2 linked regions of the Oryctolagus cuniculus genome follow. The protein of the gene in region 1 interacts with the protein of each later gene in a pairwise test. Links are inferred from orthologs where the notes say so. Each region holds a gene or a part of one and is shown on either strand. Other genes may lie near its edges. The genes, in order: CEP126 and HMOX2.

Evidence for each region.
Region 2: the proteins of CEP126 (region 1) and HMOX2 interact in a two-hybrid assay, tested with the Homo sapiens proteins (2 studies listed by BioGRID and IntAct). The link is inferred for Oryctolagus cuniculus from reciprocal best matches to the Homo sapiens genes CEP126 and HMOX2.

What each region holds. Positions count from the first base shown.
Region 1 is NC_091432.1:93,341,353-93,345,718, forward strand, and holds the start of CEP126 (centrosomal protein of 126 kDa), read left to right. Parts: upstream 1-1,401; 5' UTR 1,402-1,687; coding exon 1,688-1,815; intron 1,816-4,366. UniProt on the Homo sapiens protein: Participates in cytokinesis. Necessary for microtubules and mitotic spindle organization. Involved in primary cilium formation.
Region 2 is NC_091450.1:31,120,904-31,125,452, reverse strand, and holds the start of HMOX2 (heme oxygenase 2), read left to right. Parts: upstream 1-1,525; 5' UTR 1,526-1,670; coding exon 1,671-1,697; intron 1,698-4,549.

The sequences.
Region 1 (4,366 bases):
CAATAAGGTAGCTAATAGTTACAAGATACCAACTAATAATATAGCAAAAACCAGATTTTCAGGAAAACGTAAATTGCCTAAAAACTCCAAACTGCAACCATGATTTTCTCATTTTATTTGCATTTTGCATTGCCCTACTTTGCCAACTCACAAATCCTGAGAGACAGAGTTGTGATATTAATAGCAGGAATAGAATCAAGGACAATGCCTGCAACTAGATCAATTTAAAACCTGCCATGATAGCGAATTGTCCAAGTGTACATGTTTAGTCTTTCTTTGTCAGGATTATATATTCTACCTTCTTGGTACAATCCTAAAAGGGACTTTTGTGTGTTTTGTGCTTAAAATCAAAATTGAATTTGTTGTGGGACTTTAAAATCTCAGTCCCCAGAACATATTCCAATTTGAGTCATTGCATCCAAGTTTACAAAAACTTGGTTCTAAGTAGTTTTAGCTGGAAAAGTTCATTAGTTCAACTCTAAAAATGAAAATATTATCGTCTCTTGGCCTTTTGGCTAAGATCATGTGTAGTATCTGCTCTTATCAGTTTAAAAATGAAATCATTGATTCACAAAGACAGAGAGAATGGTGGGTAAGTGATCTTTATTTGGTCTGTACATTCTGCTTCCAAACAGGAGTTTTCCATAAGAAAAAAAAAAGAACTAGATAAAAATACAATCAGAAGTGCTTTTATGTTGGACTCCAACAAAAAGTTTCAACCTTTTTCCAAATTTTCATTTATATAGCCTTTAAATTCATGGTTCAAAAATACATTTAACTTAACTCCTGGAACAATTTCAATACAATGGCTTAGTATATCCTCCCATGAAATTATGCGCTTAAGTCTGGACGCCTTTCCAGGCCGCCTTTGCTGTATTGGCCCATTCCCAGAGTCTGGCAGCAAGGCCAGAAATCTGAAATGTAGGCCTTCGAAGCAGGGCGATGGCCAGGAAAAGGACTACAGAGAGAATGGCAGAAGCATCATCGAGTGGGTGAAATGAGTGCAGGGAACGCAAACTTACACTGCACAAAGGCTTTTTTTTAAGAGATGATGTTTGGAAATAGTGATACCCCACACAGGATTCAGTAGTTAACAACAAACCCGACCCTTAATTAACCCAGAGATTTCAGAATCTGCCCTGCGGCAGATGCCTGGTCTACGGATTTTGCGTCCCAATGTCTTCCATCCCTCTCTATACTGCCACAAAAACAACCTCAAGAAACGGGAGGTAGAAGGCCCTGAGGCGCAACACAGTGGTTCTAGTGCAAACATGCGGCCCCAGGGGACGCCTCGGGTTCTACCCTAGGACCGCCAGGCCGCTGAAGGCTGGCGCGGCCGCTGGCGCCTCCTATTGGCTGCCTCGAGCGCGCGTTCCGCCCCGCGCCGCGCTCCGCCCTGGTGTCAGTTGCGAAGGACGCGGCGTCGGTTGGTTACCAAGATGGCGACGGCTGGGAGACTGCTGCCACCTTTGCTATTGCCAGGCAAGGTCTTCGCAGTTGCAGCAGCTGTCGCCACCACGGTCACGAGCGCCTCTGCGTGGGAGTCAGGGCTGCCGCGGCCAGTCTTTCGGCGCCCGTGACGCGGGGCTTGAGAGAAGGCTTGTGGGGAGGGGCCGAGGACGAGGAAGCCGGAGCTGCTATGAGGGAGGCGCTAGGGGCTGGCGAGGAGGTGGCGCTGAGGTGAAGGATGCTGACTGGGAGGCCGGGAGCCAGAAACGCGGTCCCAGGACTGGGCACTGACTCCTCCGACACCTGCGGCAGAGCGCCCCTCAGCCCCCAAGAGAGCGGCGGGCGTCACCGACCTGGCGCTTACCTGTATCCTTCCCAGCCTGTGGCTGCCGGGGTGGCGGTGTTGGCGACGAGGCAGGTGTTTTCCCCATAACTCCCCATGACCGCGGCCGCCAGGTGATGCAAATTAGCAAGTCATCTTAATGCGGGTGTTCTCATTGCCCCCACCTAATCCCGTTCTGCGCCCCCTTCCCCCTCCGCCCTGTTGTCCTACCCCATTCATCAACTTCTTTGTAAAATGTCGGGGATTTTTCAAATAGAGAAACCGTGTATTCTGTAGGAGTTATTTTTGCCTTCTAGAATGATGCCTTTATGTTCTTTACTTACATATTAATCACTTCTTGGTTAATCGTGCCACTTAGAGAAGTGGGAAAATAGAAGGAGGTTTTGCTGTCCTGAAGAATCCGTGAGAACAATTAACCTAGCACGTCTAGATCTGTTTAGCAGAGCTACTGAAGCCTAGCCCTGCTTGGTGATTTGTTTTGTTTTCTCCCTGTGCAGTCTGTTGTCACAGAGACAGCAGAGAAGAAATGAGAAGGAAGGGACCCGAGCTTCCCAAAACAGATTGCCTGGGACTTTTCCCTCATTTTTAGTTGAAGCCAACTTTGATGTTGCTGTTGGTTGCCTTGTAGATAAGCGAAAGAGTTTTGTTTACACAGTTTGCAAACCATGTTTATTCCTTCAGAGACTGTTGTGATGATTAGAATTTAACGTTTGAATTCTCCGGGGACTAGTTGGCAGGGATAATAGTGCCTAATCATCTTCATTCTTGTCTTCTCTTTCCAAAGTAACCTTTATTTTCTTATCCCTATTGTCTCCAACTTTTTCTGGGATGTCCTTTTAACTCTGTTGGAATTTTAACAGCATGTAAGCAATTTGTATTGATTATCTGCTTTTTGGCAGGCTCTGTTCTAGATTCTAGGGATATAAATTAATAAAAAAAGAGAGGTAGGTACAGAGTTTTACTAAGAGTAAAATATCCCTCTTCTGAGCATAATTTCCTGCACGTACGATCCCTTCTATTTCTTTGGTGAAGTTTCCAAAATTATATCCTGCAATAGCAGCTTCTACTTCCTCTCATCTGTTCATAAATAACTCCACTGAGTTTGACTTTTGCACTTGCTACTCTCAAAAATATACTCTGATATGAACTGGGTTATTTTTCTGTATTCATTTGACTTTGCCCTTGTGACATTGTATTTTCCTGGACACCAAACTCCTATTACACTGAACCTGATTTATCATGAAATCAACAGGGACATGGTAAACGGTTCGTGGACAAGGTGTTTCTACTATTGTCATTAATTAAATGATCAAAGATAAAATTGTATATGCAATGTAATACATACAAACACCACAGAAAATACTTGTAAATATAAGGGGACTACAGAAAGTTCCTGGAAAATCTGCTATCATTCACATAATAAATATGAGGTCTCTGCTAACATGACCCCAGCAGTAGATGCTCAGTGAATTTCAAGGCAACATGTTCTATACTTACCAGCATATTTATGACCCTTTATCTTTATGCACTAAAATAAATTATCTTTTAATTCTACTTTTTGACAAACTTTTTGAAGAACCCTCATGGAATTCAGCAGTACATCAAATGAACACACCAAATAGGCTTTATTCCAGAATTATAATGATGGTTTCCTAAAGAGAAATATATACTTTAAAATATAAAGACAAAATGTATTGTTAAGTTGTAAATTATCATTTCTTTTTTAGGTTTATTTATTTTAAATTTTTTTATTTAAGGTGACCATTTTTAATGTATTTATTGCAAGGTGTCTGGCGCTTAACAAATCTTCCCAGGCAGACGAATCGAATCATTAATTCACAGGCTTTTATTGGGATTCCGCTCCCAGGCGAGATTCCCCAGTCCCAACAGAGCGGGGGCGGGGAAGTCATGCATCAGAGGTTGGGAGGGCTCCTTTTATAGATTCAGGGCATGGGGGTTAAAGGTTGAGGCGGGTCTGAACCTCAATGGTTGACCTTTAGGCCCCCGCAGGGACCTTGACAAGAACTTTTCTTCCCCAGAAGTACAGGTAGGGACTTCTCCATTCCCAGAAGTGTAGGCCTTCCTTCCATGTGGATCCCAAAGCTACCATCCCGACCTTTTGATGATAGGAAAAGGGGTGACGATGAGTCTCTCTGGCTACTTCCTGCTGACTGGGGACATTGTCTACAGGGGCCCGCTGTGGGTATCTTGGGACTCCACAGGGACAGGCATGTATGGATGGAGAAGCATCTGGTTGACTGGTTGCTGAAGGCCTTGGTTCATTCCATTATCACCTGATGTAAACGCTTAAACAGACACTGTAGTATACAAGTCAAGGTGAGAATAACAACCAATGATCCTAAGAGTGGCATTAACCAGGTAATGAGAAGATTTCATAGAGGAGAGGAAATGAGGGGGGGGTCTCTGGACCCTTGTGAGGTTTGTTTGATGGACATGGTTTAAATCTAATCCCAGCCAAGACCAGGAGAAAGGCCACTCAACTTTTGCAGGTAGAGGGGTTTGTCTGTAGAGAAATTCTGAATAATCATACAACATTAAGTGGAGGAGAGGACC
Region 2 (4,549 bases), on another chromosome or scaffold:
GAGATTTTCCATCCACTGGTTCACTCTCTAAATGGCTGCATCAGCCAGGTCTAGGCCAGGCTGAAGCCAGGAGCCAGTAACTTCATCTGGGTCTTCCACATGGGTGGCAGGGACCCAAAAACTTAAACCATCTTCCACTGCCTTCTCAGGCACAGTAGCAGGAACTGGATTGGAAGGGGAGTATCCAGAACTTGAACCTGAACTCTGATATGGGATGCTGGCTTTAAAAGTGGCTGCTTAGGCCGGCGCCGCGGCTCACTAGGCTAATCCTCTGCCTTGCGGCGCCGGCACACCAGGTTCTAGTCCCAGTCGGGGCGCCGAATTCTGTCCCGGTTACCCCTCTTCCAGGCCAGCTCTCTGCTATGGCCCGGGGGTGCAGTGGAGGATGGCCCAAGTGCTTGGGCCCTGCACCTGCCTGGGAGACCAGGATAAGTACCTGGCCCCTGCCATTGGATCAGCGCAGTGCACCGGCTGCAGCGCGCCGGCCGCGGCGGCCATTGGAGGGTGAACCAACGGCAAAGGAAGACCTTTCTCTCTGTCTCTCTCTCTCACTGTCCACTCTGCCTGTCAAAAAAAAAAAAAAAAAAAAAAAAAGTGGCTGCTTAATCCACTTTGCCACAATGCTGACCCACTAGGATATTTTTATGTTGCTGAAAAGCAGTGCCATTGCCAATTCTTGCATGCAATGAGAGACAAACTTTTTATTTAACAGTTAAATTAACTGCTTGGGTTGGGTTCTTTTGTGCTAGAAGAAATTTTAGTATGGTGGCCACTCGAATGTTCTCTAATATTGTAACTATGTATTTTGCTTTCCTGTACTCCATTAATTTGCCAGATTTTGTCTCCTATTGTACCATGTATCCCCCCCCCCCCCGTTTTTTTTTGAAGATGTATTTATTTATTTGAAAGGCAGAGTTACAGAGAGGCAGAGAGAGTGAGAGTGAGGTCTTCTATCCGCTGGATCACTCACCAAATGGCTGCAGTGGCTGGAGCTGGGCGATCCGAAGTCAGGAGCCTGGGGCTTCTTCCAGGTCTCCCACATGGGTGCAGGGACCCAAGGACTTGGGCCATCTTGTACTCCTCTCCTAGGCCGTAGCAGGGAACTGGATGGTAAGTTGAGCAGTTGGGTCTTGGACTGGCGCCCATATGGGATGGTGGCACTGCAGGAGGCGGCTTTACCTGCTGTACCTGTGCCGTGTATTTTAAAGTAAACTAGTAAAGGCATTTGAGTTCCTCAGAAATTCTTTCTTAAAATTTCTAATAAACTTCATATGGTACTGGCCAAGCAGTGTTTACGCATTTGTAAACGTCGTTACAAATCTGTATTGCAAAACGTACTACGTATTTGTAGATTAGGCAGTCACTTACTTTATTTTGCAAGAAACCTTGTCTTTCCATTTAAGGATATTGTTGGTTATTGGGGCCGGTGCCGTGGTGCAGTAGGTTAATCTTCCCGTCTGCGGTGCCAACATCCCATATGGGCGCCGGTTCGAGTCCTGGCTGCTCCTCTTCCGATCCAGCTCTCTGCTGTGGCCTGGGAAAGCAGTAGAAGACAGCCCAAGTACCTGGGCCCCTGCACCCAGGTGGGAGACCCAAAAGAAGCTCCTGGCTCCTGGCTTCGGATCGACTCAGCTCCGGCTGTTGTAGCCATTTGGGGAGTGAACCAGCGGATGGAAGACCTCTCTCTGCTTCTCACTGTATGTAACTCGACCTCTCAAATAAATGAAGAAAATCTTTAAAAAAATATTGTTGGTTATTGAGTTTTAGTGTAGATGACGTAATGGCATGTAGCTGTTGTGAAGGGAATCCCTTTGCACACAGCGTATCAGAGGACCACATCTAAATTGTGATCCTGGCCAAAGTGGAGCCATGAACTCTTTTTTTGGTCATTAAATCAACTGCATCTATGTTCAGATGTGACAGGGGAATATTCTGAACTGTCAGGTAGGCATTTCAAAACAACAAAGGCCTGTTCTTGAGGAACAGATTTTACTGTTTTGGTACTTAGGCAACTTTTAACAAACATGAATTTCTTTTTTTTTTTTTTGGAAGATTTATTTATTTATTTGAAAGAGTAACACACACAATCATAGAGAGAGAGAGAGAGAGGTCTTCCATCCATTGGTTCACCCCCAAGATGGCCACAGCTGCTGGATCTGTGCCAATCTGAAGCCAGAAGCTTCTTCTGGGTCTCCCACCTGGGTGCAGGAGCCCAGGTACTTGGGCTGTCTTCTACTGCTTTCCCAGGCCATAGTAAAGAGCTGGATCGGAAGAGGAACAGCCGGGACTCGAACTGGCTCTCATAGGGGATGCCGGCACTGCAGATGGCTGCTTTACCTGCTACACCACAACGCCGGCCCCAACATGCACTTCTTAATACGATGATATTTTTTTTTTTTTTTTGACAGGCAGAGTGGACAGTGAGAGAGAGAGACAGACAGACAGAAAGGTCTTCCTTTGCCGTTGGTTCACCCTCCAATGGCCGCCGCGGCTGGCGCGCTGCGGCCGGCGCACCGCGCTGATCCGATGGCAGGAGCCAGGAGCCAGGTGCTTTTCCTGGTCTCCCATGGGGTGCAGGGCCCAAGCACCTGGGCCATCCTCCACTGCACTCCCTGGCCACAGCAGAGAGCTGGCCTGGAAGAGGGGCAACCGGGACAGAATCCGGCGCCCCGACCGGGACTAGAACCCGGTGTGCCGGCGCCGCTAGGCGGAGGATTAGCCTAGTGAGCCGCGGCGCCGGCCTAATACGATGATTTTTTAAAAAGATTTATTTATTTATTTATTTGAAAGTCAGAGTTACCTAGAGAGAAAAGGAGAGACAGAGAGAGACAGGTCCTTCATTCATTCACTGGTTCACTCCCCAGATGGCCACAACGGCCGGAGCTGCGCCGATCTGAAGCCAGGAACTAGGAACTTCTGGGTCTCCCATGTGGGTGCAGGGGCCCAAGGACTTGGGCCATCTTTTACTGCTTTCCCAGGCCGTAGCAGAGAGCTGGATCGGAAATGGAGCAGCCGAGACTTGAACCGGCGCCCATATGGGATGCCGGCACCACAGGTGGCAGCTTTACGTGCTACGCCACAGCGCTGGCCCCTCTTAATATGATTTTTTTTTTTAAGAGTGCAGACACACAGTTGGAAGACATTTTCTTTTTTTAAGATTTATTTTATTTATTTGAAAGAGTTACAGAGTAGGCCGGCGCTGCGGCTCACTAAGCTAATCCTCCGCCTTGAGGCGCCGGCACACCAGGTTCTAGTCCCGGTCGGGGCACTGGATTCTGTCCCGGTTGCCCCTCTTCCAGGCCAGCTCTCTGCTGTGGCCAGGGAGTGCAGTGGAGGATGGCCCAAGTGCTTGGGCCCTGCACCCCATGGGAGACCAGGATAAGTACCTGGCTCCTGCCATTGGATCAGCGTGGTGCGCCGGCTGCAGCGCGCCGGCCGGGGTGGCCATTGGAGGGTGAACCAACGGCAAAGGAAGACCTTTCTGTCTGTCTGTCTCTCTCTCTCACTGTCCACTCTGTCTGTCAAAAAAATAAATAAATAAATAAAAGAAAGAGTTACAGAGTGAGGTGGAGACAGGGAGAGAGGTCTTCCATCTGCTGGTTCATTCCCCAGATGGCCTCAACAGCCAGATCTGAGTCAATCCAAAGCCGGGAGCCAGGAGCTTCTTACGGGTTTCCATGTGGGTGCAGGGACCCAAGGACTTGGACCATCTTCTGTTGCTTTCCCAGGCCACTTCAGAGAGCTGGATTGGAGGAGGAGCAGCTGGGACTAGAACTGGCACCCATATGGGATGCCAGCGTTTCAGGCCAGGACTTTAACCTGCTGTGCTAAGCACCAGCCCCATAATATGATTTTTTAAAAAAGATTTATTTATTTATTTGAAAGGCAGAAAGACAGGGAGAGACAGAGATGGAGACAGAGATGTCTTCCATCTGCTCATTTACTCCCCAGATGACTGAAACAGCTGGGGCTAGGCCACACCAAAGCCAAGAACCAGGAACTCCATCTGGGTATCTTACATGGGTGGCAGAGGCCCAAGCACTTGGGCTATTATCCCTTACCTTCCCAGGTGCATTGACAGGAAGTTGGATTAGAAGCAGAGGAATTAGAACTAGAACTGGCACTCCAGCATGATATGCTGGTGTGACAAGTGGTGGTTTAACCCTCTATGCCACAGTACTGAGCTTGGTGATATATTTCTTTTAAGCAGATACTGTGATTTTATTTATTTTCATTTTACTTGAAAGAGAAACAGAGACAGAGATCTTTACTGGATGTTTTGGGGAGTGAACCAGCAGGTGGGATCTCTGTCTCTCTGCCTCTCAAATAACTAAAAAATAAAAACAACAAAAAACAAATGCGTTGTCTGGTCTGCTTAGAGGAATAGGAATTCTATCAGAGTGACTTTATTCTTGCCATTTAGAGATATTGAAAAGGGCTTGTTTTTATTTTTTAATTACTATTTTTTAAAGATTTATTTTATTTATTTGAAAGAGAGTTACAGAGAGAGGTAGTGACAGAGAGAGAGGTCTTCCATCCGCTGGTTCAC